Struthio camelus: one gene and its partner. The protein of the gene in region 2 interacts with the protein of the main gene of each other region in a biochemical or structural test. Links are inferred from orthologs where the notes say so. Each region holds a gene or a part of one and is shown on either strand. Other genes may lie near its edges. The genes, in order: CSRP3 and MYOD1.

Region 1 (16,653 bases), about 12 Mb from region 2:
AAGTGTTATGGTGAGAAGCTTTGTTTTGTCCCTGGCCATTAAGTTTAAGCTATGCTCAGCTTGAGTTGGGCAATAGTCTCAAAATCAGTAACCCCTGATACTACGTGGTTTTTTTATTTATTATTTTTTGTTTAGTGGATAGAGAAGTACAAATTCATGTTAAGTTCTGGTTTGGCAAAACAGAATTTGGCAGGGTATTTCTGCATGAAGATGTTAAAACGTGCGTTGGGGGGTTGGTTTATTTGTTATTTATTTGTATTTATATTTAGGAAAGCAAAAGAGATGAAAATGAAATTGGCTTTGGAATGTAATCAGTCCTCCCCGGAGGCAGTCCCCAAACCTGAACCTCGCACTGCACCACTCGCTCAGAAGTCAGCTCTCACTCAGCCACTAGGTGTCTTGCCTCCAAGCCACAGTTCAGTGTCACCAATAATGCTACCTCATACTCATTCGGGTGTTTCATATGCAATATATTTGCATCCTTCGCAAGCCCACACTGTGACAACATACAGCCCAAGTTTCATGTTGCAGCCTTTACCATGTGCTAATGTGACTGGAATTAAAAGTATGAATTCAAAAGTACTGAATAAAATAACCACTGAAGAAGGAAACAATCACATAGCTAAGGAAGATCCAAGAAAATCTTTGACAGCTAACGAAAAACAAACTGTAAAACCTGAATCTACATCACAGAAGTGCCTTAAAAGATCACAAGCATTACAAGAGAATAGTCTGATTAAAAGGTGTAGGAGTGATGACAAAAGCCTTGATACTTCTCCGGTAAGTTAAGTTATTTTTTTAAATCCCATTTTATAGCTTAATGATGGTGCCACCTACTCTTCAATGTCATTTAGGATCCTATCAGATGATCTAAAATTTGTAAATTCTTTGTAAAGCCTGACTAGGGAGTAATCTTGTAAACACTTAATACTTTAGTTGACTTTAAGAGCATTTGTGCTACAGACTTGCAGAAACTTTACAATATGAAACAACATTTCATGTTGGCATTTGAGAACACATGTTCTTGTACCTTGGAAGAACAATTTTGGATGGTATGAAAACAGATAAAAGACAAAACTGAACTGTCTGCTGTTGCTTGTTGATGCAAATGTTTTGGTATTTTGAATAACATTACACTTGAAGAGATGACTGATTTGTTGAGCTTGCTCATGCTTGTTGTTTTTGTTTATTTGGTTTTTTTATAGTGAACATCACATAATCTTTGCTGGTATTTGCAAAGCACCTGGCAGAATATACAGTATAATGCAAATCTTTGAAAGGCTAACCTAGAATCAGGCTGTATTTTTCTTCTTTCCCACTCCAAATTTTTATTTCAGAAAAGATGTCTCAGTGGGTTCTGAGGTTAGTCAAAACATAACAACCTCTCCCCAAAACATTATCACGAGACTTAGCTGGGTATCAGGATATTTATGCATTCATTCTGTGGTAGTTCAGGTACAGAGGGGCTAGCAGCCACTCTTAGCTTTAATGGTGTTCGGAGGGAAAGTGGACATATAGAAGTTGATGGATGCAACGTCCCAAAATTCTGGTACCTTCTGAATATTTTTATCCAGTGTTGTAGGCAGCCAGTGTTAGGCTGTCGTAGTCTTAATAATAAGGTGTAGGAAGAGAATAAGACTGGAGAAACTGGGCCTGGTTTACTTTCCACCCCTCCCTCTCAGCACTGGGCTCAGTTGCTGACTGTTTTGTTGTACCTGCAAATTATTAGGCCGCTTTAAATTGTGCGTGGCAAAACAACCATGACACGTTATCGGTGCGTGCTGTGACAATGTCAATGGCATTAAACATCCACTAGCTGCAAAGGAGCAAGAGGGGATAACATAGAAGCAGTTGTCTGTACTTGTAACTGCAAATCTTTATAGCACAAACTTGAGAATCAGGAGAAAAGAGAAAGTTTGTTTTCTAGATTGTGTGCACAGAGAATTGTCATAGAAATGTAGCTTTTCTGACAGCCAGAAGTATTTACCTTTGTAATCTTAACTTTTTAAATGTATAAATGTTATTGTAGACATGTAATTGAGGTTGTAAAGTCTGTCTTTTACAATATCTGCCTATGTTTTTATGTACTTTTTTTTTTAAAGGGAGAATCCATTAAAAAGGAAAAACCACCTTCTAGTGGTTTGCAGATGAATGATGAAATGGACAATTTCCAGGAAGAGAGACAAAACAAAGCTGAAAAATTAGATCAAAATGTAGCAAGTTGCTGTGACCAGTGTAAGAGAGAAGGTATTCCAGAAGATGAGGACAGAAGCAAAACTAAACAAGAAATACCTGTAGCATTTGCCATTCCTGCTCATGAGGTAAACTTTCTGTCAGCATATCCTACCATTGCCGGAAAAATGCCGCTTTTAAGAGAGCTCTTTGCCAAAGAAACAAAAGTATAAAAGCTACATGTCTATGGATTAATTTTGGTTGAATTATTTTTCAGTGTGCTTTTCAAATCTTACTTACTGGAGGACTCTTCTATTTTGCATTAAGTACACAAATAAGAGGAAATGAACTGACTGGAATGAAGACGGTAACCAAGACTCACTAGATAAAGGCAGTGTTGAGATTCCATACCTTCCCAGTCCTTTGTTTGCACATATATAGTTTCAAATACTTTCATTTTCAACAGAACCACATAAAGCTTTTTATATTTTAGTAAAATTTAGTATTCTGCAATTTGACTTACTGCTGTGAAGAACTTGATTAAAGAACATTTTTGCCGACAAATACAGAACTTGTAAATGCAAATGGGCTGTCTTCCAGGATTTCTCTCACGAAAACGCAATGCAAGATTGAGGTGACATGATGATTACTGGGTCCAGATGTTTCTTTTGTTAGAAAAAAGTATTCGGTATCGAGACTTCTCTTGTGTCTGGTCTAATTGTAACGTGTTAATCTGGGATGGATTTCCAGCCCCTTACTGAGGATGTCAGCTGGGAATAGAGCCAGCTGACTTCTGCAGTGTGTGGCAGTCTTATTTTAAGAAGTGCTGCTTTAAGTCATCTGTGTCTAACTTCAAGCAGAAGGTAGTACAGGGCATGGAATATAGGATCCTGCGGATACAGAGGATAAAGAATTAAGGGCAAGACAACAGAAATGCAACTCTGGGGAAGGTTGCTTATTACATCTTTGAGTACAAGTGGTTGTCTTTCTTTTCCAGACTTTTTTTCCATCTGGCTATCTTATTCCTCTTCCTCAATGCACCCACCATGGCAACAAGGCAGGCTTTTCTAACAAAGAGAAAGCTGGAATATGTTCATTACAGCACACCACCTACAGCTCACCCATTGCTGGTGAGTATTAAATGAAATATACATCTAATTCTCTGGCTTGAAGGACTGTGGGCTAGACTTACCCTACTGAGGTCAAGATATCACACTGCATTGGTTTGAGCCTGAATTTTTTAATTAAAAAAATAATTATTTTAATCTTTTAATTTTTCATCTTTAGGTGTGATTCCAGTGACAGCATCTGAACTGAAAGCAGTTAACATTCCTGCTTTTCATATAACACCCTTGAATATAATGGTATCACCAACTTCTATAGCTGCTGCGCCTGTACTGAGTAACTCCTGTCTCAATTCAAGCAACACAAATTCTGCCCAGAATCCAAGTTCTTCAGTTCTGAACTTTACACTGCAACATTTAGGACTAATACCTACTGGTGTGCAAGTTCCCACAAATCCTGTTCTTCAGCACACGCCCGTCTCTTCAAAACCAGAAAATGTTAGCCATAGCTCAGAAAACATGAATTTGAAAGAAGAGAAGGTAAGTAAAAATATATTGCAACTTCCTGACCATGAGTTAAGTGGGAAATACAGTGCGGTAACGCCTTCACAACAGGTAAAAACTCTCAAAATTGTTTCCATCTTACTTTTTATTTATAATTCAGCACTGCCCCCAAAAAGCTGGAGTAACAGGCAATGAAGGCTAGCTTATGTGGAAGTGGAGCCAGTTTGGAGGAGTTGAAGGATGATAGGATGTGAAGAGACAACTGTCTTAAAGGCAAAATTTTGTATAGATTTAAGATGACACTTATTTACAAATTCTCCATTTGTTACTTCATCTTTCTTTCTCGTTACTCTCCTAACTTATTCTCAAGGTCTTGCATTTCACGTTGTCTTTTTTAATAGAACAGACTTAGTAGAGGATTTAAAAAAAAATTCCACAGGAAATCTGCATATTTATGTGATATTATATATTGCCTCAGATATGTTTGTACTAAAAAAAGGAGACAGGAGGGGATTACAGAAACAGATTTTCATTTTTAACTTTTATATATATTTATAAAAATATATAAATACACACACATATGCACAAAATATACACATATGTATAAATAAAAATAGATCTACTCTTCTCAGTAAAGAACTGTTAGGTTTTTAAATTTCAAAAAAATATGGAAACTTAAAGCTAGAATTCACTTTTTTAAAATGAAAGTAACTTTCTCTCTTTCTCATGTTTTTAGCTAAGTGTTCCAAAGGAACCCCAAGAGCTCCAAACAGTGAAAGAAAACTTTTTCCGCACACCAGGAGGGCCAAACACAGTATCTTCATCTTCTGGAAATTCAGATGGTACTGATGGAATTTCTCAAGGAACCTTGTATATTCCTCAAAGGAAACTTGAAGTGTCAGAAGACTAATTTTGGGATATCGTGTTGCTGAATGTGTTAGCAGGCATAATTACTGATAACACGCTGCATGCATCTTGGATTGCATGATGGACAGTGTTTGTTTTGGACATGTATTGGCAAGACCTCAATACTGGAATAGCCTTAATTAATGCTTTAGAATTAAAAGCAGCTCTTAATGAGAAAGTTAATGTCTAATAATTTTTTGAAAAGGCTTACCTAAACTATCATAGCAACCAAGTTATGTATCTAATGTTTTCTGTGTTGCTTTTCTGCTATGCAAAGTAAGCTGAAATTAACTTTGTACAGAAAGGTACAGTCTATCACTCAGTACATATTTTGCACAAAAAAAGTACTGTGAGCATGTATATATTTTATGTCTTAACAAAAAGGCCATAGTTACAATTTCTTTTGTGCCTATGTTCAATAATGCTCTTTTGTAAAGTTAGTAAAAACAACAAAAAAATGAAATCTTAATCAAGTTTATGTAAGTTAAGAATTATTTATACTGTATTTTTAATCAATTTGTTCAGATTAAACTTACATCAAACTGTCAAATTTTGACAGTTTTTTGTTTAATCAAATTAAATTACCAGCGTTAAGTAATACATTGTACATTCACTGGAATCTCTTCAATTTTTTGGCCAGACAAGGATATCTCTATGTTCTGAAGAAAGAGAAAATAGTATTTCATCAGCAATAGATTTAAATTAAAGTAACTAGATTAGACTTTCTGACTTATCACTAGAGATTACATCTACTAATACCAATGAGTAGAGGAAGAGATTATTTATGAGGTTTGGAATTTAAAGTAACCTTGTCACCCTAGAGCCTTCTGCAAAATGCAGTCCAAATGTCACAAAACCAAGACTGCACATAGTTTATATAGTTACATACAGCTTGAAACTAATCGACCACTTCAGTAACAATTGAAGTTGAACGAGTTGTGAATCCCGCTTCCCAGCAAGCACAGGGCAGACCAAATAACAAACACAAAGACCCCCTGCCTTGCCTCTGTTCTCCTATTAAACACGGAATTTTTGAGCCAGATGCAAGCTCCAGCTGGCGCATCTACCAGATTATACCACTAAAAGTGTGGAGATTCTCTTGACGCTGCTCAGGCTTCAAGTCTACAGTAAAGTTGTCAAAATCTTTGTCCTAAGGTTTATAACACTGTTTGTGACCAAAATCACACATGCAGTTATTGAAGCAATGTCATTCAGTGTCCCAAACACTGTAAAGTCTTGCAGACGCAAGAAATGCCACAGCTGTCTTGGACATCGACATGCCCTTTCCTGGGGCTTCACTGATGCCCTTGTACAGGAGAAAGGTGTTGGAATAAATTGCAGCAGGCACGAAATTTCATTCAAATTCAAATTTGATCTCTGGAAAGTCAGAGAGTGACTACCAAGCATTTTTATTCTATTCTTTTATAGAGGTGAGTTAGGTAATTATGTGGAATTGACTAATGTTCTAGTTTGCCTCAAAAGTAACAAATAATCAGAGAAAAGGAACTTCTAGCATTATGAATACATTATTTTACAGAAAAAAACATAATTGTTTCATAAAGAAATACATAATTCAAAGCCTTCTCCCTCCCTTCTTTACTCAAATTCCTCTATTCATTAAATGATAATGTGATTTTTCTGCAGGAGAACGCCTGAGGCAAAACTTCAGTTAAAGCTGCACTTCTATTTTCAGTCCACTTTCTGTTTTAAACTCTATTACCTACCCTAATGGAAGGTCAAAGTGTAAGACTCTCATTTATCTGTCATAAGAGCCTGCTGCTGGAGAAGCCATAAGACTTCTGCTCCATGAAATGTCCGTACTCTGATTAACCATAGTCTACCTGGATCAGCTGTGAAGCAGGAGCTCATACCAGCTGTATGCGTGGCTTTGTACGTGGGTGTGTGGTGGTGGTGGTTTTGGGGGGGGGGGTTGCTGTTCTCTTTTACTGTGCTTTACAGGTGGAAGAGTGAACATTTTAACTTAAACCTTCAATGATGAGGGAAGGAAGAGGGGAGGAGGAAAGCCTCATAGAAACAAGGGTCTGGCTTCAGCTGAGAGGCAGTACTGGCAGTTTCTGCTTTCTAGCTGTAAGACCAATGTCGGCTTCCGAGTGTTGTTTCTCCCCTGTTGCAATTTCACATTAAACAGGTTAAAGTTAAACCAGCTGAATTTAAATTCAGATTACAGTCTCCTATGCTGAAGGAGCAATGATGAAGCCTCGTACAGCTCACGTTCAACTTAGATGACCGAGAGTAACCAATAAATTAAAGAAAAATCCTGAGTATGCACCTTCCCACGTGAAACGTGCCTGTCTATATCCAAATTAGGACTGGAGAAAGGCTTCATAGACTACTAAAGCAAAGCCCAAGATTCAGACTTGAACTGAGCGTGAAACAGTTTAGTCTTACTGTTAACTGTTTTAATTAACTGCCTTACTTTTCAGAAATACAAAATTATTTGTATAATACAAAATAGATCTGACAGAATTGGATAACTATTAAAATGCTGCTGCATGAGGGGAAAAAGAGTAAAAGCTGGGAAACGGAGAAATTCTCACTGCAGCAGTGAGTAGACTTTTTTTTCTTCTAAGTGATAATTACTCAGAGATTTACCTTCCTCACACCTTCTTCTGTGAATTTTACTCTAGTCAGACCAAAGGCAAAGATTTATAGAAACTTCTTGAATTATGCAGAGGAAACAAACTTCAGAACTTTCATTTCTGGACATTGCAGCAGGCAGAATAAGAAGCCATAATAATTAGATTTTTGAAAAAGGGTCTGGCCACAAATTCTATGCTCTGTTGTGAAAGGCTGAATGTATATCCCAACTTACTCTCGAGTGTCCCTTAGCTCCTGTCAAAATACAGTTGCTTTCTCATGCAGGCTTTATAATAACCAGCCCTTTACTTCATTCTTGTTCATGTTGCAGGCTGAAATGCTACCTTTTCTCTCCTCAAAGTATTGAATTCCTCAGAAGACTCAGCTTTCACTCTGATTTAGCTGAGGTTTCTGCTCTTCCCACCTGTCTAATCTATTCTTAAACGTGACCCGACTACTGGATTTACTCTGTTGCCAAACTCTAGGAAAGTTCCTCTGATCTTCAGGCTAGCTTCATTTTTGATATGCTGTGTTCCAGTTCTCCAAGCAGTACTTTTAATCCCTACCTTTGATTTACAGAAAACATTACACTCCTGCACCACAAGGAATGTGAAAATTAATGCATCTGTGCACTCCAATTGCATATTTCAAGTCTGCTTCTTCAATTTCAAGTCCTGATAACCACAGTGGACCGGGGATTATATGAAATTCACAGCACACAATAAGCATTCAACTGGTCCTTTCACCTATAAGGAACCTGTAAATAAGATTCACCTCCTTATAGCGGGGATACAGTATCCATGATAGCACAGTAGTACAGAAATGAAGCTACAACCAATACCAGGAATCTAAAGGCTCTACCCTGCCTTTATCTCTTAACTTCTCTGACAAAAGGAAAACAATTACTGAAGTTCTGGGGAAAAAAATCTTTCTCCACAGATTTCCCTGCCACTTCCATAACCAGTTGGTTATGGTACAGATCCATCCAAATATATGTTCTAACTAGCCTAATCATCATGTGCTAATCATCAGCTGATGATAAGAGCGAAGATCAATGAAGATTAAGCTCTCGAGAGCATCCAGGCTCCCAACTTCCAGCTGAGCAGGGGCACAAACAGAAAGTGGTTATCAACCTGCTAGTGCTTTCCTGTAGCCTAGTGGCAAGCTCAGTCATGCCCCAGTCCTTCCTCTCGACCATCTTATTGGAGATGTTCATACCATACACATCTGCAGCTGCCACCGCACCATTTAGCCTTATTTAACGTAAGCAAGAGAGTTCCATGAACCACCCAGGAAGAATGAATGAGAAGAAATGGGGTCCAAGACTCTTCTGCTCAATAAAAATTAGGCCTCTAACCTTACATTAGAAACCTTTGCTGGACTCCATAGTCAAGAGATGTTAGACTCTTAAGACTTAATTTTCAAATTAGCCTCAGTGAATGGGCCCCTAAAATCCTGAAATTTCACATACATTTGGCATCTAATTTCCTTACACTCCCATGAAAGTCCCAGAGTTGAGACCTTCACTATCAGTCTTCAGTTTGTAACCCCTAAGTTCTAGGTGATTGGCCCTTTCACTCCTCCCAAAATCCATGAAGAATGAAGTTTCTAAATTCAGAAGTCCCTCCAAAGATGAGAATTACCCTCAATCTTTAAAGCACTTAAAAATAAACAAACAATAATCTCTGTAAAGAAATGAACTTTAAGCGCTTTACACTTTAGCCCATCTCTAAAATGGTTGCAATATCACGCATTTGCAAGGGGCTCAGCAAGGTTTCGTAATTGCTTATAGATGCTATGATTAAACGTGCCAAACTCTACACGTATTAGCTACCTGTCTTAATGCTTAAAAAAAGTACAAAATTAAAAATTAGAGTGACAAGCATAAGTCGCCATAGTCTAAGACTTCTAGCAGATATCAACCATTTGTAGCTATCAAGTTATGAACTACTTAACTAAATAAAATTCTATTTGGTTTAAGACTGTTGAGTCCCAGAGGTTCTTACAATGAGTTATTGATTATTTTTATAATTATTTTGTTAGATTATTTTTGGCAATGATGTCATCATATATTACTAAATCCTCATTTCAGGAACCATTATTTTATGATTCATGCTTAAGCAATTTAATCGCAATTCTAAAATTTCACTCTTTATTTGATCTGTTGGAGGGCTTTTAAGAATGCCTTTAGGTGTAATCGGAGGGGCTGCATTGTTGTCCACCTACTCACGAGTGGACGTAAGGGAACAAAATGCCAGGCTTCTGTCAGATGTTATTTTCAGCTCAGTGATAGCAATGGCATTGCTCAGATCCCTGAAGCAACCTCTCCCAGCTCCCTCCCCTCCCAGCTCATAGGGCCAGCAGTGGTGGCCGCTGCATTTAAAGAGTGCAGGAAGGCTTCAAGTTAAACTCTGTCAGAGGCCAAAGAAAATAGGAAGAAACATCAGCCTGCTCTGGTAAGTGTAGTACATGGGGTTCTGCAAGACTGTTTGATATACGGATTTGGGTTTTTTTATTTTTTCCCCCCCAAAGCTAGTAGAAACAGCTTATTGCTTGACTAAGAAAAATGTGCAGGTATAGCACAGAAATGGGAGTCCTATAGAGCTGACAGCAGTATTTTAGGTTTGCAGTAGCTAACTGAAAAGAAAGATTCTTCTGGGCTTCTAGGCCTTTACGGTAGCTATTAGTGTTACAAGAACGGGGCTGTGGAGGGTCTCATCTCTGAGACAGGCATTTTTACCACATGCAAGACTGGATAGCATAGAAATTGTGGAAGTGTTTAGAAATTTTGTTACAAAGCTGAAGAATGACTTCTTCCACAGATACTCTATCTTAATATACGAGCTTGCTAAAGTATACAAAGTTATATGCTTTCAGAAGTTCTCAGTAAGAGAGTCAAAGCATTCTGAAACAAAAAAGTCACTAAATATTTAATGTCTAATTGGTTTTATATTAAACCAGAAGGACATTTCTACATAACCTCCACCTCCAACAGAAAAATCACAAATAAAAATGCAAGATGACAGAATTCACATGCTCATCACTCAAGCGTTAAAAGGTAGCATGACTGGCCAAGTCTTTAGGAAAAAAAATAGCTAAAAAAAAATAATTATCTGCTTCAAAAAGTTTTCTGTCTAAAGATAAAACTGTTTCAAAGAATGCAAAGAATGAAGCCTTGCACGTACTTAAAAGAATTCTGAGTCTGATCTCAATCATCCCGGCAATATTTCAAAGTCCATAAGAGTTTTGTTTGGGACTAGAGGACTTAAGACAAGGATAAGGGTGTAAAGAAAGATATTGTGGAAGGAAAAGCTGAAGTTGATAGCACAGGATAAGGTCTGAGGAAAGAAACAGATCATTTGGACAGCAGGATGTAGTTTCCCACAGCCTTGTGAAGAAAACTGAACTTTGTGTTTGAGGGAAGGGTGCTTTTTTAAAGTCAGAACTAAGTATCTGGTTCTAGTGTCAGCGTATCACATCTTTTGGAAACGTCATCTTAAATTTCTGCAAAGGTGTTCACCAAAGAAGTTTTAATAGAAATGCGTCATTACCATGCCAGAAAATAAGACAGTAGTGGGAAGGATACATAGTGACAAAAGCAAAAGATTCAGAGGCAGCACTGAGTTCTCCTGTCAGCTTTGCCCCTCACTTGCTTCTTATCAAGACACTTAAAATCTTCTGTTTCGAAAGGACTAGTGTAACTTAACATAACCAGTGTCAGTCAAAATCAGTATTTATTTTTCTGTGTCATTGTGGAAAATCCTGTCTCTTGACCCCTATGTGCTGGTTTACTGCAGAAATATAGAAAAAAATTGCTATGCGGCATGAGGATAAAAGTAATACACTGACTAATTCATAAACCCAAACTTGTATTTGTATCCATAGCCCACTAAATGTATATGACCATAAGAAATATCACTATAAATACATAACCATGTTGTATAAATGAGCTCACTCTTCAAATGCAATCATTTTCTCTATTGTATAACTATTCTGCTGAGAAATGATGCTTTCTGCAATGGATTAGATTTCGACCAAAACACCTTCAGGCTTTTTGAGATGCAGTGACAGGAACTATGCTTTGCACTGCAGAAACATCAAAATTAAACGTGACATAGTGAGAAAGAGAAAGAAACCATAGCAGTATTTAATTGATACTTTAAAACAGAATTGGAGTGTGTTAAAATTATTTTTAAGTCAAACACAGCTTTTGCCAATGAGGAATACCACACTTTACACTAAAACTGACAGGAAAAAAACATTAAATAACCTAGAAACATCTGGAAGTATTAATCTTCTTCAAAAGACACTATAGGCAAATATTCTAGGGCATCAAAAATAACAGCAAGGGCAATTGAATCTCAAGACACTTGCCTGGCACCACCAAATATAAGGCAAGACCTATGGGAGATCCAGGCTCTCTGGAGTGACAGCTGAGGATAAGGCAGGATACCTGACAATGTTGAATATGGTGCAAGATACCTATGTTTACACAGCCAGATACCACTCTATTTCTTCCATTAAAGCTATTGAAAGTTCTCTGTAAAGGAAGCTATGTAGTGTTATCCCTGGGGTGCTGGTGAAGGAGTAAGACTAAGGAAGGTTGAACGAGTCAGAGAGTCACATGACAGGTCAGCAGTAGAGCTGTGATTAGATATCAGGAATAAAATCCTGACTGCATTGACATCTCCCACAGACTTCAACTGGGGCCACAATTTCTAATTTCTAGTCTCAAAACTCCCATTTCAATAGTGACAGTCATTTAATTTGATACTATTGCTTATTACAAAAGGAAACAATCTTCTCATGCTTTTAACAGACTATAGACTGAACAGTCAGCTAGGACTAAAAATAGAGATGCAAAGCACATCTTATCCAAGTCCTTCTGGTTCAGCATTTCTACCATCACAGGATTCAGTGACCATAAAGACCTACATTTCCCATTCTGCTTATCCACTTGAAAGTCATCGTATACTACATTTGGTGCTCTGAGATACCCTTTCCAGCCAAACAATAAGTGATTTCTGCATTTTCTATACATACGACTTGAGTTCTAGACCATCAAACACATAAGCATTTAGAATGAAAAAACTAGTGTTTAGGAAAAAAAACACCAGCATTTTTTTAACAACTTTTTCACCAGCATTGCACTACCTAGCACTATGTTTATCTCTTTTAAAACCACTCTATGAAACCACATAAAGCCAGTACTGCACCCACTTCCCATTTAGATCAATGGATATATTTTTGGACTATATCCTTATCAATAGTACTCTAATTAGAATGACACAAACCTCTATGACAGTTATGTGAATATAGCAGCTTTATATCCCAATTTCTATAGTAAGACGAATAGCCCAGTAGAACACGCTTTCTTGCGGCTGTGCAGAGCACAAACACCTCAAAAGCTTCTTTACTCTGAAGCTAGGCTATCTAGCAGTGTTATGAGCGCTAAATAAAGCGAAGCACGTATCCCTGGCTGCACATCTGATGCCTATAAATTCTACTCCACTTAATAGCTGCATTTTGAAATGAAGCAATATGAGCTGCCGAATACTACTGAAGCAAGTCCAAGAATGCTTCTCCAGCTTAGCAGTACCATAAATGCACACCAGCATTTGGCATTGCTAATATTCAAAAGTTCCTCTATCATGTGTAATATACATAGAATGGTCTCACTCTACTTCCCACCAGATCACCAAATCTCTGGAGAGGTGACCAAGCAAGAACACAGACCACGGACTTGTCCTAGTACCTCAGCCAGCTGTTGAGCCAGCCAGCGCAGGCATCATGGCATACGTTGCCATTCTTAGGCCAGTATCCTCATGAGAACGTTTTTACTGTGACTTCTTTCTCCTACAGCTTCCCATCAGGTGATGGCAAAAAACATGGAAAATGTGTATGCATGCCCAGTCACGTTACTATAATTAGCCTCAGGAGCAATAGTTCTTTTAAGAGCTCTAACCACTGCCTGTAACAGCACAATGTTCACTATCAAACATTATCAGACTTTTTCAGAGCTAGTATTTTTTTCCTTCAGCTAATGATGTAATTAGAGCTAGTTTTAAACAAGTACCCTGTTGCCACACTTAAAGAGACTTTGCGCATCCTTAAGGGGACCTAAAACTGCGGAAGAAGTGCTGCACCCACTGCAGCTTGAAGCCAGCTGCTTGCCTGGCAGCCAGCTACGGGTGCTACTCCAGCTGGTGCAGGACTTCACTGGAAATCCACACCAGGCTCTCACAAGAAACACTCAGCACTTTCCCTGGGCAGATAGTTGTGACAGTTCAGGAGATGCTGTATTGAATTAAGGCTTAAGTTCCATACCAAAAATCAGTGAAAATACTGGCTTCAGAGGAATCACCCCGTTGAACTCCAAAGGCAGGAACATACTAAAAATGTTAATGAACCAATTTTGTTTCAGTTGAAGTTGGTCAGGCTTTCTCTCAATTTCAAGGGGAATACGGCGAGTGCAAACCTCTTCAGGAAAGCATCATAAAACTAACTTTTATCTCCCATTGCTCTTTCTTCTCTTAAAAGATTTGAAGCATTGCTTTAATTATTTTCAGAAGAGAAAAAATGGCACCAATACCGAAATATTTGAAAAAAGCACAGAGGAGAAAATATAAAATGGCAGAATAAGACATTAAGATTTTACCTAAATGAAAGATTTATTCCTGTGCCTTCATCTCTCTTCCAAAAGAAATTTAAGAAAGACTTTAACAGTGCTTTTCAATAAAGTGTTTACTGAGTAAGAGGGAGCAACTTTATAGCTTGCTCTTGCATGCAATCATTTTCATTTCTACTTATTTCAGCCACATCAGATTTTTGCTTTTCACTCATTACATTGCAGATAAATAGAGTTAGAGGCAAGCTGAGTCTTCTTCCATGTCTGCATCATTACACTTTCCTAAGTGTCAGAATAGCTTCTCCTCAACAGCCTCCCAAGAGAACCGTCAGCGTCAGAGAGATTAATGATACAGTTGCTTTATGACAGCGGAGGACTGGACTGAGCTAGGGAAGCTGGTTCAGCTAAGCATAAAGCTTCTCCACAAAGAGAAAGAGGTACTATCTTGTATTAGGATGACAGGTATACTGTCTAATGCAGGTAACACTCACAACAGTGAATATGTGTGTGATTAAATGGGCTTAAAGATAGACTCATCACCAGAGTACTAACGTGGATATGTTTGGATACACTAATAACTGGATTGTTATCAAACACCGATTGTTAAAACATGCCTGTGTTGCTGTATCTTCAGTACTATTGCTTCAGCATGAGCACACACTCCTAAGCTGCTGTCCCATTTTCCTTTTTATGAACAGATAAGGCTTTTATTTCAATTTTCAGCACTAGTGACCAGAAAGAACTCTGCTCAATTTCAGGTTAAGCTTGCAGAGCTGGCATGTAGAAAGTATTCACTTTCCTTCTGAAATTCTGCAGATTTGGTACAGAAGTCACTGAGATGATGACAAATAAGGGACATTACAGTGTCTAATGTATAGTCCTGGTAAACTTTAGGCTAAAGTTCAACCCATTTAAAATAAAAGCTGTATTACATCACTACCGTGATAAATTTCCCTCTCTCTCGCCTGACATTAGAAAAAAATTCTCAGGTAGTAAGCTTCATTCAGTGTTCAAAATCCTTTCCTTACTTCAGGATATCTCATGGTGAACTTAACCAAGTAAAAACAGAACAAGCTGGCTTCTAAAGAACTATAATAAGAAAGTGACTGACTTTCCAAGAAGGATAAGAAAGGTCTGAGCCAGGAGCTTGGAACAAGCTGATAATACGATGTGCAGATGACAAGATGACATTCCAGCCTTTCCAGAAATGATGACTCAAACAACAAGAAAACAGAAGGGCAAACTGCTGGCGCTGTGGTTGTTTCAGCTGCATGATAGCATGGTCATCAGGAAGGGCAATGAGCCTGCAGTCAGGTGACCCCAGTTCAGCTCCTGGCTCTTCCACTACCCTCTTATGTGACCTTGGGCAACTCACTTCAACTAATAGTAACTGAAATAGTAAGCACTATTCTTCACTTTTTCCTCAGATGTTTATATTTTAAGCACACCTGACAAACATGCCTTAAGCACCTTAGGAAATTATCTGTTATTACCTCATAATGGTTGTGTAGCACAGTGATCTTGCGGCTGTTTTACGAGGAATTCAGAAAAGCAACAACTTGCTTTTATTAAAGCGTCCTCTGAAAAAATATGGTACGTTTGTTTAAGAACAAGGTGAAATTCTTCAGGTGTGAATTGTATAATATGACATCATACTCATACAGAAAACTGTCTTTACACACGTCACTGAGGATGAACCAGCACTTCCTGTAGAGAGCTGTAAATAGTAGAATAGGGTGCCTCTTGACAGACAGTCTTAGAATATTGTACTGTAGAAAAATTAATGCCAAATTCTGCTCACAGTTTTGCTTTTAAAATTCCACTGAAGTTTCAAAGCATTTGAAAGCCTCCATTAGATTTTGCGTCACAACACAAAACCAAAAACTTCAAATGAAAGCAAAAAATCGAGGGGAAAAGGCTGGGATACAGGAGAGGGCAGGACTGAGAGTAAACGGTTATCACTGGAAAATATATCCTAGAGCTGCTTCTCCAGAAGAGGTCAGAATGACCCTGTCACCTTTTTATTGAAACACTCCACATTCATCTAATGCATTTACCATCACAGGACAATGAACACTAAGGAGTATCCTTATTTACAAAGGAAGGTCACACAGGCCACAGGATTGAAACCGGGGCCTGTTCAACACCAGGCTAGTACCCTCACTGCTAGATTAGTCTGCTGCGCTGCACAGTCCCAGCAACAGGGAAGACTCTAGCCCCCTTTCCTCAGGGCTGCCAGTCACACAGAGGAGAAGAGGTCTTGAAGTTACTGTTTCATCTCTCTGCTACCAGAGAGCCCACAAGTACTTTGGTGCAATTCACACAAGCAGATCCTGGCCTGGGGACACCCTGCAATAGCCATTGCAGGGTGCTATTGTTGCACCCTGTGTAGCAGCTGGCTAGAGGAAAATTAAGCTGTTCTGTTTAAAATAATTCACTTCTGCTATCAGATTAACTTCTGTAATTTGATATTCTAGGTTACACTTCATATATAAGGATGCCGAACTGGGGAGGTGGAGCCAAATGTGGTGCCTGTGAGAAGACAGTGTATCATGCTGAGGAAATTCAGTGCAATGGAAGGAGTTTCCACAAGACATGCTTCCTCTGCAGTAAGCTGGGCTACACTGTTTTAACTTCACAACATCTCCATAGCTTCATACAAATCTTATTTTAAAGCTAGTAAATTTACTTTTGTGCTACTTTGCTTCCAAGCAGAAAAACAATAAAGAAGCTTAATAGTTTCTTTAATTCAAAGTGTTTGCTCATCGTACATCTACAGTG
Region 2 (16,580 bases):
GCTGAGATCAGTCACGCTTCCACCTCGCTACCTCGACTCTGTTCCAGGTAGACGCCGGGCCACAGCTGCCGAGCTGCAGCTGTCACCGTGCGGGACAGAGCAGAGCAGCCGAAAAGGCCAGGAACGGGTGCTTCCGGGCTGCTGACGCCCGCGCCCGCGGCTCGCCCCTCTCCCGGGCCCCGGCCGTTAACGGCTGCCGCCCGCGGGCACCGCGAAATGGCGGCGCCCGCCTGGCCTCGCCCCGCCGCCGTGGCGCGGCCGGGGGCCGGGGGCGGGGGGCGGGGCGCGGGGCGGGGGCGGCCCGGCCCGGCCCGGCCCGGCGGCAAGGTGCGTGGCCAGGTGCCCGCTGCTATATGAGGCGCCGCCCGCGGCCGGGCCGCCCGGCTCCAGCGGCCGCCGCCATGGCCGAGCCGCGCTCCAAGCGGCCCCGCGGGACGCTGCCCGCCTGCCCGGCGCACCGCCCGCTGCCCGGCAGCCGCGTGAGGCAGAGCTTCCCGCCCGCCGTGGAGGAAGGCCTCTGCGGCGTCACCGGCGCCCTGCTCGAGCTCTCCTACTGCCTCCAGGCGCTGGTAAGCGGCGGGCGGCGGCGGAGAGGGGCGGGGAGAGGGGCTGCCAGCGGCTTTGCAGCCTAACACCTTGGCGTTCGGGCTTTGGCCTCTTCTCTTCTTGTTGTTGTTGTTGTTGTTTCCCCCGCAAACTTTATACCTGAAATAGCCTTGCGTGGTTAACTGAGGAAAGCCTGTGGGGGCGCCTTCCCATGGGCGCCCTGTGCGGGGGGAGGCTGAGCAGCAGGCAGGAGCATCGTGGGGATTTAAAAAGGAAATATGTAGCACAATGGCAAGTTTATTGGCTTTGGCTGCTTATCAAATATTTAAGGCTGCATATGTTTTAACAAAAACACAAAATCAAGAAACAGGATCATCGGTGCCATCCCCTCTGAAGCTGAGCCTCTGTTGAGAGTCAAGGCAAACTATACTCAAGCGTATAACCAAGATCCTCTGATTGAGCTTAGTGTATGGTATTAGTGCAGTAAAAATTAAGTATGTGGTGAAACCTCAACCTGTTAAGCGTGCAGACTGAAATACCACTGCTGATTGGTAGTTGGGCTGGATGGAGAAAGTTCCACTAGAAATGGACTGTGGCTGTCTTAGAAGTAGTTAATGATCTTTATAAAAGACTTACCTTAACAGCTATGCAGGTGTAGTGTCTTGGGTTCTTGCAGTCCTGCAGCACACTCGCACTGAGCAACTGGTTACAAAACACTCAGCCTTGACTCTTCTGTCAGTAGAGATATGAATTAATGACTCTAGGAAAAAGACCATGCAAATATAGCATTGAATATTCTCAATGAACATTGCAGTATGTACTTCCTCTTGAATGGCGCATGGTTACACATATGTGTGCCACAGCTTTGGGGCATCCCGGATGGTCATCAAAACATAAACACATCATATGGTGTATATAACTCTTTTACGCTTTCTTAGCAGATGAGCGACATAGATGAAACTCAAGTATTTTGTATTTGTTCACAATAATAATGAAAGAAGGGAGAACAGCCAGAAGTAGAAACGCTTATGAAATGCACGTACTTGTTCTTTACCCCCCTGGACAGGCGACAAGCCAGGAGTTTAATATGCAGCAATCCAGTCCAGAGGCAAAGGCTGTGCTATACTGCCTATGCCTGTTTAGGGAACCAGTAGATTGATATATTGTAGCTCCCTCAATTCTACTCTTGGCATATTCCCAGCTGCTGCCTCTCACTGTCTTTGATATCAAAGTAGTGCAGAGCCAATGTTGAACCTCTCTGGGCAACCTGGTGGCCTTCCATTGCTATCTGTCTCTCTAGTACATTCTCTTTATTCTGTCTTCCACCGTGCAGGCAAGGAGCTAGGGATCAGCCTGCCACTCCATGCATAAAATTAATTCAACAGATGGGCTGACAGATCAATGAGCACAGTTTAATCTTACATTGATGAAAGTTGTTACTTTCCCATATAGAAAAATAGAACAAGGGCTACAGTAGGTTTAGGATTTTAATACTTTTTGAAGTCGTCTTAGGCATAAGCTATGTATTGCTACTGAACTATACTGTGTACACCTTTAATATTTTCTCTATTGGAATAGCATTATCCATAAAGGAACTGAAAACTGGTGCAAAATTGTTCTTGGTCTCCTTTGGTGTTTGCCTCATCTTTCTCATACCTTTAGAAGCTAACTTTTCAATGGAATGTTGACCTGAAGGGATAAATCCTATGTTCTCTGTACTCTTGGCTCCATCAGCAAGAAGCTGGACTATGCTTATTTAATGAAAAATAAATAATAGGATCAGGCCCTTACCAGTTCCAATACCTAGAAGGGAAGAATGTTGCTGATTTTGATGCTTTCGGTAATGGTGGTGGAGGATCTGGATATGTGCCTCTAGCTATTTTTCTTTCCTAAATGCAAATCTCATAAGCAGTATCTGGCTAGAATCTGTGACTGCTAATGAAAAAAAACCATCAGTAATAGTCTCCTGCCCAGTCTTAAAAGGCAGAAAGCGTTCTAGTAGAAGTATAGAGGTTTTTTCGATTTAGGACAGTAATGACTTCATTTATTGCAGAAGTTTGGAGGAAGACCTTCAAAGTGATTAAGGTGGTAGAACGAGTTCCATTGGAAATGTCTCCTCCCTGAGTTCTGATACAGCTGTGTTCTGCTGCAAGTTCTGTCTTCAACAAACTTTAACACTCTGGTTGAATTTTGTTTGCTTAGGGTGAATTTTTTGATCAGTCCCATGTGGCCCTACCAAATGTTTCAAAGTTCTTCCTGCATCAAGCCATGGAGGAGAGAAAAGCTGCAGAAGCTTTGATGAAGTATCAGCAAGAAAGAGGAGGCCACTACTGTTCTAAAACCATCCAGGTGTGTAGCAAGCAACTTGTAGTCTCTTGCAATTAGCAATAATTACTCTAGACTCCTGCATTATATAGTTGGTGCCTCAGAACTCTCAGTATTCAACCACTATTAGATTTTTCAGATATAATTTCCCTATTATATTAGTTAACATGCTTTTGTTCCTGATTGATGCCTAGAAAACTGTCAGACATGCAGTCCTAACTCCATATGATTGCTGGTCTGGCCAAAAAGGATATGAACAATGGTCCCTTTTTTCTTCCACTCAGCTGGAGACTGCTGTTTCCAGTGTGCTGTAATGGATTATGTGGGTCTCCTTAAACTGTTTCAGTGCTAAATCAGCCAACTTGTCTGCCTTCCCACTGAAACAAAATAAAGTCATTGGCATCTGAAAGGGGTAAGGAAGGAGGTGGGAGAAACATCCAGCTGGGAGCAGTAGCTCATCTGTTAGAACATAGCCAAAGACAGAATTTGAATCGATTTGACTCGGGCTTGCACAGGTATGAAGGAGTAACTCAGTTATCAGTTTTTAATTTAAAAAAAAAAAAACCCTCCCTTGTAGAAGATTATAGGGCGGATTCTTCTCTGGCAAACTATTATGTATTATATAAACTATTTATATGTACTATATAAACTATCTATATGTATTATCCATTATATAAGCTATTATGTAAAGAGTTAAATATATCATCTTGCTGTTCCTTGGCCTATCATAGCATTTGTTGAGCTGGAAAAAGTAAAAATAAAAAGGCCATCTTGAGCAACTTTTTAAAATATTGAGTTTGCATCTATACGGATAGGTTTTTCTCATTTAAGAATATTTATCAGGCATAGCTACTGCTATTTAAATCTTGTTCCTTGAAACAAGGATTTGTGGGTTCTGGCACTTCTGTATGTTTACAGCCATCTAACTCAGCAAAAAATAACAGACGCTCCACACTAGAAGGAGCTCTTGGAAAATCCTAGCACGTTTTGTTTAGAAGGTCAGTTAAGTTGCAGGAAAATAGCAACGAATATGGTAAGATGAGCTGCTCTTATTAATAATTGTAACTATCTTTGCTTCTAGAAACCAAACTGTGAGTACGCAGTCAGTCTGATGAAAGCCCTGGAATTAGCAATGATCCAGTGGAAAACTATGACACGGTATTTTGAAGAGCTTTATGCCCTGAGCCTTGAAAACGCAGACCCTCACAGTGCAAGCACTATCAAGAAACAGTTCATTGAGCCCAAAATCCGGAAGATCAAGCTGATGGGAGATCTTCTGACCAATGCTCGCAGGCTTGACTGTTCCCAAGATGGCAGAAACAGTCTTGGCGATTACTTCATGGACCGGCTCCAGAAAGAGCTAAGAACAGGCATAGAGCCAGAGCCTAGTCAGCGCAGTAGCCCCTGCCCTCCTCTCCAGCAATGCACAGGAGCTGCAGAGGGTCTGAAGCGCCCCCAGAGAGAATCCTCCCAGCACAGGAATGGCATAGGGCCAATATATGCAACTGTATATTGCACTGCTGCAGTGCCACAGTGCAATGATGGGACAGGAGCAAAAGTGAAGCAGGGCAGGGAGGGACTGTAACACTAGGACTGCTACAGCTATGGAGCAGCTCCTAAGGCAGATCTTTATGGAGGGTGGCCTTGAGACCAGCACTCAGGAGATGCAATTGGTTACTCCTGTATCACTCCCCCTTCTTCATACCTTGGCCCTCATCCTCTGATGAGCCGCAGCTCAAAGTCTAGCCCATACCATTGTTTAAATCATAGTGAGATTGCTAGTTCCCCAGATTGTTTGCATCAATTACACTTTCATCTATGCAATTCTTACCGTAAAAGATGCTTCAGTGTAGAAACTAAAAGCCTTTAGGCCTCTCCTCTGGCTTAAATGACTGTTAGTATTAGTTAATGCCAATTATTTTTAACAGTGTATAGAACTTTTATAAAAAAAAAAAGAAAGAAAACTTTAGTACAAGGTAACTTCTATGTGGGAAAAAATCCAAAGATTAAGTTTTATATTAAATATTTTACATTAGTATGGTAACATTATGAACTCTTTAAAAGACTTGTTTTAAAACAAGGTGGATTTCTTGTTTTCTTTCTATCATAGTATCAATTTCAATAACTAAGTAAATTCATTTACCTATAACCCAGCTATTTCTTGTTGTATATGCCTTCAATATGAAGGATACTAACTTTTTCTCAATGTGGGAACAGGACAATGTGCTGTTTTTCACTGCAGTTACTTGCCTTGTTGCCTTTTCTAATCCTCAAAAAGAGGATGAGATGTAAATTAGGGGTTCTCATTAGATGTGGTTTTCACCGGTTTTATTTTACAAGTGTCCCCAAAGGCCCTAGCTCTAGGGACTTGCCCAGACATAGCCTAGGACAGTTATTTTAATTATCACACAAATCCCTGTTTCAGCTGGATAAAGTATGGTACTACTGCTGATTTTCTGTATTCCCTATCTTGGCCCCAGGTAGGTGAATAACATCCTTGGGAAAGTGCAGCATGCGCAGCTAAAATTGCACTACAGAAAGCAGCCTCTCATTCATTTTTGCATTTCAGTTGAGGGGGGCATTCACACTGCCAAACTTAAAGCCTTCACTTTAGCCAGCTGGGTTAAAGTTCAGAGGAGTCTAAATTCCTTCCAGTCAGCTCCTACAGGAATGCCTCTCCTTCTCTACATTGACTAACAAGGTCACCTAGGAAGAGCAACTGGCTAAATCAGCTGCCTGGAACTAGGTTCTTAAGTCGGTATATACCACAGCTTTTAGGCAATTTGAGTTAATCTTTCAGTGGAACAAACCCCAACTTTTATGTAATACTGTAATCAATGTTTCTGTTGTTAAATTTGAAAATAAATTCAGTTCAATGTAAGAAATAATGCAGATGCAAATTTTTAAGTTTTCCAAATATGCATGCTAATGTTCTTCTCCAAGAGACTTTGCCTATTGACAAAACTGTGCCAGAGTCTATCTGCCCCCAAGAAAGTTACACAAGATAGAAATATACACCACAAAATGAAAACAAACATATTGGAAAACTGCATTAAGGTAAAAACACTGCACAAGGAAACACTAAGTCAATTTTGACTTCTACACACGGTAGCATTAAGTACCTATTTCTGTAAAGCCACATTAGCCCACCTACTTTCTGCTGATGTTGTAACACAGGACAGACAACTACAATTCAGATGTTTTCCCAATCCCTTTCTGTTAATGATTCAGCTTTATGGTGACGGGTGGGGAGGGAGGAAATCACATTGAAACTTCCCCTCTATGCTCCTTTTTAAAAAAAAAAAAATTACTGCAATGTGCTACATGAATGGTTTGAAGCACTTCCAGCAACATACTGGATTTGCCTATGTTGGGATGACTGGCAGTAGTTTAAAAGATATTTCCATCTGGGCTAGATTGCAACACCCATCCGCATGCTGAGCATACCTTATTCAACAATTAGTTTCCCTGACTCTAACTCAACATGAATAAGAGCAATGGAATCCATCCTCAGTATTAAAATATAGCTCATTAAGTATGAATGGAGCAAAAATACTCATTGAATAATAAACTAGTGTCATAAAAACCCTTCAAGTATTACTACTGTTTCTACAACAATCTTCTACTTTGACAGTTCTTAACCTTCTGAAATATAGGTATAGCTTCTTCCACAGTTTCCAGCACTTAGACCCTCTCTCTTTACCTTAACAGAAGTCCAATGTTTAAACTTTACAGTGCACAACTTACATACGTGGCAATATTTCAGGGAGAAAGAAGCAGCAAGTTTCTCAGAGATCCACTCCTCTGGTCTTCATCTTTGTGGCAAAATGTGTTGGCACGTTCTCAGAATTTTAAGTCCTTTGTTTCTCACTTTTCCAAAACACCTTCTGGGCCCTCTGCCTACAGAAAGAATTCTGTTAATTTCAGGTAGAGAAACTCCCAATCAGTTATTTTCCCAATCTTCATCCTCTGAAAAAGAGAATTAAATCAATTACTATAGATAACCGAAGTTCTTTTTGTGCATATGCTGCTTCTGCTGAGGGTGTGCACATGCTCACGCATGTGACCTCAGGGACTTTGTTAACAATACCTGTACATCGTGTATAGGATGAGTGTCCATGTATGCTCCTCAGCATAAGCAGTACAATCTGCTTCCCCCGTCTCAGCTTCCTTTCCACTACACCCTGAAAAAAAAAGGAGATGAAGGACGAAACGTGCAACAGGTATATAGCACCATTTAAAGTAACCATAAGAATCTGCTTCCTCTGCTGAATGCGTGCTCATATGCACACCCCTGCAGGTGTAATTCCACAGCAATGCCCAATCCATCCAGATCCAGGATCTGGGAGGCTTAGAAGAGCCATAGAAACACCAGTACTGAAATAGAGCATCCAAATCAAAAGCTTTGGAGAGACCTAATCTCTACTGAAATGATGAGTAACAGCCACAGTGGCTTCCAGACAGACACTTAACAGTAGCATGTTTCTAAATTCCGCCATAAGCACGATCTAAGGCTGCACAAATGGGGCCCTTGCTGTTGCCTAGTCTCAAAATGAGGAATTCATTAAAATACCTAGGGGAAGACCATGCTGTCCTTCATCCTCTCCACTATGGCCACCCTAAGTTGAGAAGAACACCTGTGGGTTTTGTTCTTTGCAAAGACTCTCAGACTCACAATACAATGCAGCCTCTTTCTGGACCAATCCATCTTTGGGAAGAATACTGGAAAGTGAATGTTGGTTTTGGTAGCGACCGTGGGGGATGAGTCTTCAAAGGCACCTTCAGTAGAAGAACACTCCATGCAAACTATACCATCTGGTCATGGCTCTCTCTCCTGACTTTTTCACCTAGGTGACAAACCGAGATATGCTTTTACTAACCCATGTCTTGGGACACATGCATGCTGCCACAGGTTGAAAGAAGAGACTCCCTAGAGCGTGCAAGCGCTAGACTGCATTGCATTGGCAGTTACTTGAAGTCTTTGTGTATCACTTGTCCAAGTCCCAGCCTTTGTTACTGCTTTGCCCAAGGTAACCATTATTTGCACAAGTCCCAGAATGCCTTTTTCTGGGGTCAAGTATAATCTAGAAACACACTTAAAGTGGCAGAATATCCTACAATGCTGTGTAAACATCACGTAGAATTACCTTTTCCACAAATGAAACAAGTAAGCTACAGAGAGATGAAGTGTCTTGAGCCAAGTAACGTGGCCAGCGCCAAAACCAAGCCTTGATACCCAATGTACGCGTTTAGCTGTTATAGCATATAACTATTTCTCACTTATACTTAATATGCATTACTGTATTATTTTCAATACAAATTGTTTTTACGGTGTTTTAGCTGTTCAGGAGAGATTTTTCAGAACAGCAAAAGCTGTTCATTCCTTCTGGATCAAAGAAACCTCTGTAACAACAGCGGAGGGTTTCCACAAGGTTGCTACTCTGCCTCTCAGAGCAGCTGGCAGATACACTTCTCAGTGTGTTAGGGTGGTCAATAGCTGATCTCATTGGGACGTATCACTTTTCAGCATTGGATACGGTGAAACAACAAAGTTGTACAGAGTCCAAAATATCTACTTTTTCCTTTAAATAAAAATTTGATCTTTGGGGAGTAACGATAGGACGTGACTAACAGTTATCTCTGCCTGTACGTGAAGACGTGTAAGCAAGTAGACCACGGGGACTGCAGACTGGGAAACCAAATCACGTAACTAGCAATGAACACACCGTTACAATGACCCGTCTGAAAAGTCACAGGCGCAGGAACTGAGGACTAGGTCACCAGTTGATATTTTACCTTTACAGACCCTTCTAAGCTGCCCTTTAGCCCATTGAGGCCAGAGCTTTGCCTTCGATTTTAAATAAGTCAGATTTTCAGCAGCCTCTGTAAGGGCAGAGTGGAGATTAATCTTAGCCCATGGCAGATAAAAACACCCGTAACTATTTTAATCATTAAGTTAATGAAATCACGCAGCTGAATTGCTGGAGTGCTTCCACACCACAAAAAGAGCTCAATTTCTCGGCTCGAGCGATATTCCCAAAACAGCGCAAACACTCTAGCAAGACCTGAGAGACGTTACCCCCCCCCCACCCCCCCAAAACACGTCCCGTGTCTCTAGGGCCGCGGCTCTGCCATCGCCGAGTTACCTGAAAACAACGCACCCTTACCGCGCAAGCAACCCGGGCCGTCACCACCTCAGCCAGCCTCCGTCTCTTCCCGGGCCGCGGAGCAAACGCGACGGTCTAAGTCCGTTAACGCCCGGGGAAAGCGGGCCTCGACGGGCCTCGCCGACGGGCGCACCGACCGCGGGGCCCAGCGCCCCCCGGCGGCCGCCGCCCGCTCTCGCCGCGCCTGCCTGCACCGAGGGGCGGGCGGCGGGGCGTTAAAACCACACGCGTTTGACACCGCCCGGCCCCCGGGATGGGGGGGGGGGGGGAGCCGCGGCCCCCTCCCCGCCCCGCCCCGTCCCGCCGCGCCGCGCCGCCCGGGGGGCTCCGGCATAAATACGGCCCCGAGCGGCGCTGCCGGACCGGCGCGGCGCGGCGGCGGAGGGGCGGGCGGCGGCAGCGCTGGTGGCCTCGCCTGGCAGAGGGGAGCCGCGGGGCTCCGCTCCGCGCCGCGCGCGCCGCCACCGGCCGTCAACGGCCGTCAACGGCCCGAGCGCGCTTTCCCGCCCTCGGCCCCGGGCGGCGCCGCCGCCGCCCCCATGGACTTACTGGGCCCCATGGAGATGACGGAGGGCTCCCTCTGCTCCTTCTCGGCCGCCGACGACTTCTACGACGACCCCTGCTTCAACACGTCGGACATGCACTTCTTCGAGGACCTGGACCCGCGGCTGGTGCACGTCGGGGGCCTGCTGAAGCCCGAGGAGCACCCGCACCACCACGGGCACCACCACGGGCACCCGCACGAGGAGGAGCACGTGCGGGCGCCCAGCGGGCACCACCAGGCCGGCCGCTGCCTGCTCTGGGCCTGCAAGGCCTGCAAGAGGAAGACCACCAACGCCGACCGCCGCAAGGCGGCCACCATGAGGGAGCGGCGGCGCCTCAGCAAGGTCAACGAGGCCTTCGAGACCCTCAAGCGCTGCACCTCCACCAACCCCAACCAGCGCCTGCCCAAGGTGGAGATCCTCCGCAACGCCATCCGCTACATCGAGAGCCTGCAGGCGCTGCTGCGCGAGCAGGAGGACGCCTACTACCCGGTGCTGGAGCACTACAGCGGCGAGTCGGACGCCTCCAGCCCCCGCTCCAACTGCTCCGATGGCATGGTGAGTGCCCCCGCCGGCGGACAAAGTCCCCTTCTGCGCCTCCACCTCCGGCGGCCAAGGGCGGTGGGGTCCCCCCACGCCAGCGCCCCTGGAAGAGAAGGGAGAAGTCTCTCAGGCGCTCCTTCCTGGGGATGAGAAGTTGGGCAGGTTTCCCTGGGTCCCGGGGAAAGCTGCTGGGGGACCGCTCTGGGAAGGGCGCCGGGAGCGCCGAGAGGTGCGAGTCCTGCCCGCGCTCCCGGGGCATCTCCGTTTCCATCTCCTGTACCCTTAGCCCTGCGTCCCCTAGGGACAGCTGTGAGGGAGGTCCCCCCTGCCATGATAACTGCAGGGGAAAACTCACAGGGGAACTGCTAAGTCTGGGTTTTCTTTTCTGACATTAGTCCTGATAAGAGGAGCACGGTCTGAGCAACAGGAGTTGCTTTTCTTGACCGTTATGAAAAAGGTTCTCCCCCCTCAAGACATTTACCAGCAACAGGAAGGAGACCCCAGGCTTTCACCTCTGTTTGTGCATTATGGGGAGAGGGGAGAAGAAGAGCGAGTGCCAGAGAGGGTGTCTCGTCACCTAATTTCTTTCTTGGGACTATAGTTTTAGACTCCGTGGCCTGACTCGAGGATGGTGGGATGTGGTGACTGGAGTACAGGATAGCTGAGATGAGAACCACAAGAGCACTTTTAAGACTTCCTGAGTTGGCTATGTTCTCTGGTGGGGATAATTATTACTGAGCTGAATATCTGGGATTGTGAGATAGCTGGCAGATCGGGGAGAAAATTTACACAACTGATCCCTCCTCAAAATACAGCCTTTTTTCTCCTCTCGGTAAGAGCCATGTAACTGTGGGTGGAAGTACCAGAAACAAAAATACTGGTCAGAATGCTTGCTTTTTTTTCTCTATACAAAGTAATAGTGGGGAGAGAAACCAAAGGAAATAAAAAGGCACAAAGGTGGACTAGTGGGTTTTTTAAAGGAATTCATGCTTGGAAAAGTCTTCAGAAATTAAACTGAAAAAAGACTTTTCCCCCCTTGGTCTCCCTGCTGCAATTCGAAGGGCAACCTCTGATTAGAACGCTGGAAGACTTCACTTCATTTGAAAAGCTACAGCATTAGTACATTAGTTACAACAATGGTAATTTTCCTTTAAAATAACTATGCCACATAATACATTCTGGGGGGAATTTCTTCCTAGCAAAGTTAAGCTCTGCCTCATTCAAAAAAACTAAAACTTGGTGGTGTTTCAGCCAGGACTAGAGAGCTATGGCACAGACTAGGGTCTGAAGTGTGAAGTTAAATAGTTACTGGGGAGGAAATATTTGAGGAAAATGCTGTCCCCCCACTGGTGATCTCACGCAGATTTCTCTCCTTTCCAGATGGAATACAGTGGGCCTCCTTGCAACTCCCGCAGAAGAAACAGCTACGACAACAGCTACTACACGGAATCACCAAATGGTGAGTATTTGCAGTAACGGCAACGTGAAACATAGGGGTAGAGACGGTCAGCGCAGCAGACTTGCCTGTGCCTTCTCTGTCCCCGGTTGTTTAGCAGACTCCGGCTGGGCTTTTCAGCCAGCGAGCTGTCGATGCTAGTACATGTATAGCATTTCCCTCTAGATGCCTTTGCAAATATGGGAATATAGTATAGTGGCATTTCCTACTTTGCAAACATAGTGTCTGGATAAAAACATATTGGAATATATTCCAACAGTTTTCAGAGTTTAACTACATTTTGCATAAGGATTGTTCCAACCGGATATCACTGATCCAAACCATGGAGAAATTGCCAATTGAATTCAAATCTTCCATTCCCTTTCTATGGACTGAAGTGAAGCCCTGCACCCATCCTCTTGAAAAGTATCATACCTCAGTTGGGCCTTTTTTCCCATTCTGCAAATTATAGTCTCTGTTTTCTGATAACTGGCATCTTTCACCAATATTCCTTTCCTCAATCTTAATATGCTCACAGATATGCCCTGTCAGCCACTGGTTGGGGTTCTCTGAAAAAACTACAGCCTACTGACATTAAATACCCATTGACTAAATTGATCACCTCTTCTGTCTGTCTTTAGATCCAAAGCATGGGAAGAGTTCTGTTGTTTCTAGCCTTGATTGCCTCTCAAGCATTGTGGAGAGGATTTCCACAGATAACTCCACATGTCCAGTCCTGCCCGCAGTGGAAAGCGTTGCTGAAGGGAGTCCCTGTTCCCCCTCCGAAGGAGCCAACCTGAATGAGAGTGGAGTCCAAATTCCTTCCCCCACCAACTGCACCCCGCTTCCCCAGGATAACAGCAGCAACCCTATCTACCAAGTGCTATAAAGGCAAGTCCAGCTGGACTGCAGTGAAAACAAACTGTTACATGCAGTAAAGCTCCAAGACCTGCCTTGTAAGACTGAAAAGACTTCTCAAGACTTCTTGTTCCAGTCCTAAAATCTCTCAAAATTCCTTCAAGTACATAACTCTTCAAACCTGTATTACTTCAAAATACATCTAGTTATTTATTGGTTGTTAAACTCAAGTTATTTAATGTGTCTGGAGATAAAATTGCATACCATGAAATGGCCAACATTTAATCTGGGCTTTTGAGGAATAGGAACCTCGCTGTTGAAAGCAGGGGAGAAAAGAAAGCTACAAGTCTCTGGAGTAAAGGCATGACACATGCTTTCTATTACCCCTGTTCTGGCCAAAATAAGGTTGTGGACCACTTTTATAAAACTTTTTGTATAATTGTAAATAAGAGTTGCTTTGCAAAAAAAAAATAAGAAAAAAGTTAAAAAAAAAAAAATATTTAATGTTGCTTGGTTTGTCGTGCAAAACTTTAACTTTATATATTTATACCATGTGGTTGCCAAGAATGTTTTCAACAGTATTCTAAATAAAGACCCTTATTTATAAAATCCATGGAGTTATCTTGACTTTCATTAGAGCTTCTAGAATTACTTGCGCGTTTAGGAGTGGTGCTAAGATCGCTGCCTTGGCAGGAAGAAGGTACAGGCTCTGATTCAGCAAAGAATCAAGCCCATGCTTCAGTTGTGCTACTTTCCATTTCTTTGCATAAATACTTTGCTGAAAAAGGGTGTATTTTCTTTATATCGTATTTTGGTACCCTTTCTGAACTGAATGTTAAACATCTGAGGGCATTATTACGTAGCTCTGCATGGTAAATAAGCAGGTTCTTCTTGCCCCTCAAAGGTTATGAATACATTGTAGGACTTGAGCTCTTAAGACTATACACGAACTAGGAATCATAGTAAATGAGAATCTCCAAATTCCTCGCAGCTACACACTCTTACAAGATCAGATACTGCACTCTTATATGTAAGTCCATATTTTCCATTCAAGATCTAATTTTCAAGTGGATGTACCATGTTCATACATTCTCAGGTAACTGAAAATAATTACATGGGATTTTGTGTCATAAAGTTCAAGGTATAGATCTCAGTTTTCCTAAAGTTCAGATTGGAACTTAGGCCAAAGATAGGAAGCTTTAATTTGGATTTGAACTTTCCCCATCTCTGGCAACACTACTCCAGGGATTTGCTTCTTGTTTGGAGCCTTTCTAAAAATAACCAGGGGGCTATGTTTCATTCAGTGTATATATACGTGTAACCTTGCAAGCTTGCCATGAAATTGAAAAATGTTAAGCCCTGAACAGATTGTCATTGATAAGTAACCATGAGGGCCTATCTGCACATTTGGACAAGAATAACTAGCAGCTACAGCCCGGTATGAAACAACCCATTGCTTTCACGTCACTGTGATTTATGGCTTTTGTTTAAACATCACAGTAAAAAAAAAAAAAAAAACATCATCAGCTCTAAATACGTTGGTGACAGATCAGTCGTTATATTCTCTCCTAGCTGATTATTAAAGAGGGCATTTCTGCTACTCTTACCTCTTAAGCAGGAAAAAAAGAAAGAGGGAACAGCTAATTCCATGGGAATGTCTTCCACTCCTTCAGACTTGGATCAGCGCTCCCCGGAGAGGCACGAGCGGCCTTGTGTTGGACAGAGCAACGCGGTTGCTTCTCCGCAGTCCAGCAGTAACGGCGTGCCGGGAGCTTGCTGCTTTCCCTGAGGTCGGAGCGGCAGGAAGGCAGCAGCCGGGGGGGTTCCTCCCTCGTCGCGGGCGTTTGGGACCGCTGCCAACACCGAATCTGTGCGGAGGCGCAGGCCCGGCGCCCACACATCGGAGGGGTTTCTGGGGCAGGGGCTGCCCCTCAGCGCCTGCATCGAAGTCAGGTGCTGTAAAGGGATTCTCTCAGGGGTCTCCTGCAGGTTTCACTGTGGGCAGAAACACAGTCCAGGCAACACAGGTTGAGTTACCCCTTCAATTTTTCAGTTAAAAGTAAAAATTAAATGAACTCAAGAGTGTGCCAATTCATTCTAGTGTGAATCAGGAGCATCTCTACTAAGGTCAGAAAAATGCCCGCATTAGTTTGACTGAGTCAAATCACTGACTTCCAAAAACTAAATACAGACTGTTGGAGCCTCGCAAGTCAACGCCCTCACAAATTAACAACAAAGTTTTCATTGCCTCCAGCAAAAACTTAATCGGGCCCCAATGCAAAAGATGCTTTTGTGAAATACTGTACACTTTTCTCTCTGCATACGCACAGGTGGCACAAAGCTTGCGCCTGACTCACTAGAGCACCCCACTTCTGCAGGACACGACGAAGTCCCTTGCCGGAAGGCTGGCACAGCACCGTGGGCGCTCGGGGCGTTTGCGCTCAACAATGTACATGCAGTTCCTCGTGAAGTCATGTATATTGCATTTCACTGATTTATTTTAGCAACCCAAGTTTCCACATACTGATGTTAATGTTACAACAGAGAACAAGCATTTAGCACATCCCAGAATAGATGGGTGGATAAAGAAGAAGAAAATATTCATACATTTACTATGCAGAACCCATCTTTTTCCCGTTGAGGTCAGTGAGAAAAATCCACTGGAGCAAGGCCAAAGGGCATCAGTGCCGAGAAATACACGGTTAGATTACGGCTACACTTATTTTTAAACTTAAATAAGGAAAACGCGTGCCCTTCCATGTGCAATTTCTTGCTGTCTATTTCTAAGGTAATCTATTAAAAACAAATGGCTGAAGTTACTATACTCCCCTGTGCACCATGAGGACGGCACGTTACTGACAGAAGGACATCCCAGTCCGTCTGGATTGCAAATGCTTCAGAGCCAGAGACGTTTGGATTCAGAGCTGCAGTTCAGACGGTAACAAGGGAGCAAAAGCAGAGCTGAGGAACAGATACAAGACTGGCCCAACATTTACCAACTCGGCTCTTAAAATCGGCTCCTAAAGCTGTATTTAGGCATCGAGGGCTGACCCTACGAGACAAAGAGCAGTCGAGCTGGGGCCAGTGAAACAGCGCAGCTAGTGCTCCACGCACCCATAGCTTGAAATCACCAAATCACACACACAGCCTCAGGTTCAATATTCAAATAATTTAGCAGGACGGGGCACATGAAGAAACGCTGATTTAAAAAAAATCGGAATCCCGCACGTGGCACCGACAGGCAGAGCGGGGCAGAAGCTGGGCACCACGGCACACCAGCCGCTCGCGGACCCAAGCTGCTTCGCTAAGGCAGGAAAGAGCCTCTAACTAAACGCACGTTTGAGGCTTTCTGCAAGGGATTTTACAACTGTCTGATACTTCCCATGGAACGTTACTTCCATATGGAAAGGCATATAACTACGAATAATTAGAGGAAAGTAGCTATCTTTGAGCATAAAGATAAATGTGTAGCTTAGGCACGTTTGATTTGGTTTGGTAACTTAAGAGCACCACACAGAAGCTGCGTGACACAGCCCGTATTATCAATTTATCTTATTCAAAATGGTGCTAGAGATGAAGTGGAACGGAATAGATCTTTTCTTCATTTATACATGTTAAGCGCTTTGATTTTGAAGTTTTGTCATGCCATTGACAAATACGAATGAGAATGAAGTGGATTCTTTTTCTATTTTCAATATTTTACAACAAATAGAAGTGCAATAAAATTGTTTTTTGAAAATAACAACGTTGAACACCAACAACTATCACTGCTGTACACCAACAACATTATCATTATCACCTCCAACATTACTGAAGCTGCTACAAACATTTTCCACATACCGAAAATCAGATGTTAGGTAAAAGAAAAATATAAACTATTCCTAGTATATTTTTTCTTTTTTAAATATTTTATCACCTGTCTCCAGAAAGAGTAAGTTTGCAGCTGCTTTGTACCAGATGCTGCTCTTCTACAACCACTTGTCATTTTAAACACAAGTTACAGACTTTACAAAAGCTGCGGAAGGTGGAAGGAAAAACAGAATTAGTGCTATTTCTATAAGGAGAAAATAAGAAGCACACTACATTTTGCAAAGAGGGTCAAACAGTGCAAACCTGCTCATTTTACTCATAAAAGTGGTACTATCCCCTCCAGAAGAACTACAT

What was found.
Region 1: the proteins of MYOD1 (region 2) and CSRP3 form a complex in vitro, tested with the Homo sapiens proteins (2 studies listed by BioGRID and IntAct, with this or other methods). The link is inferred for Struthio camelus from reciprocal best matches to the Homo sapiens genes MYOD1 and CSRP3.

What each region holds. Positions count from the first base shown.
Region 1 is NC_090946.1:32,060,277-32,076,929, forward strand, and holds the start of CSRP3 (cysteine and glycine-rich protein 3), read left to right. Parts: upstream 1-9,529; 5' UTR 9,530-9,700; intron 9,701-12,938; exon of another isoform or gene 12,939-13,117; intron 13,118-16,349; 5' UTR 16,350-16,369; coding exon 16,370-16,481; intron 16,482-16,653. Other genes in the region: transcription factor E2F8, read left to right, coding at 270-780, 2,103-2,321, 3,170-3,302, 3,460-3,776, 4,477-4,650. UniProt on the Homo sapiens protein: Positive regulator of myogenesis. Acts as a cofactor for myogenic bHLH transcription factors such as MYOD1, and probably MYOG and MYF6.
Region 2 is NC_090946.1:20,182,223-20,198,802, reverse strand, and holds MYOD1 (myoblast determination protein 1), read left to right. Parts: upstream 1-9,404; 5' UTR 9,405-9,577; coding exon 9,578-10,138; intron 10,139-11,503; coding exon 11,504-11,582; intron 11,583-12,199; coding exon 12,200-12,447; 3' UTR 12,448-13,366; downstream 13,367-16,580. Other genes in the region: ferritin light chain, read left to right, coding at 354-569, 2,749-2,895, 3,953-4,456. UniProt on the Homo sapiens protein: Acts as a transcriptional activator that promotes transcription of muscle-specific target genes and plays a role in muscle differentiation. Together with MYF5 and MYOG, co-occupies muscle-specific gene promoter core region during myogenesis.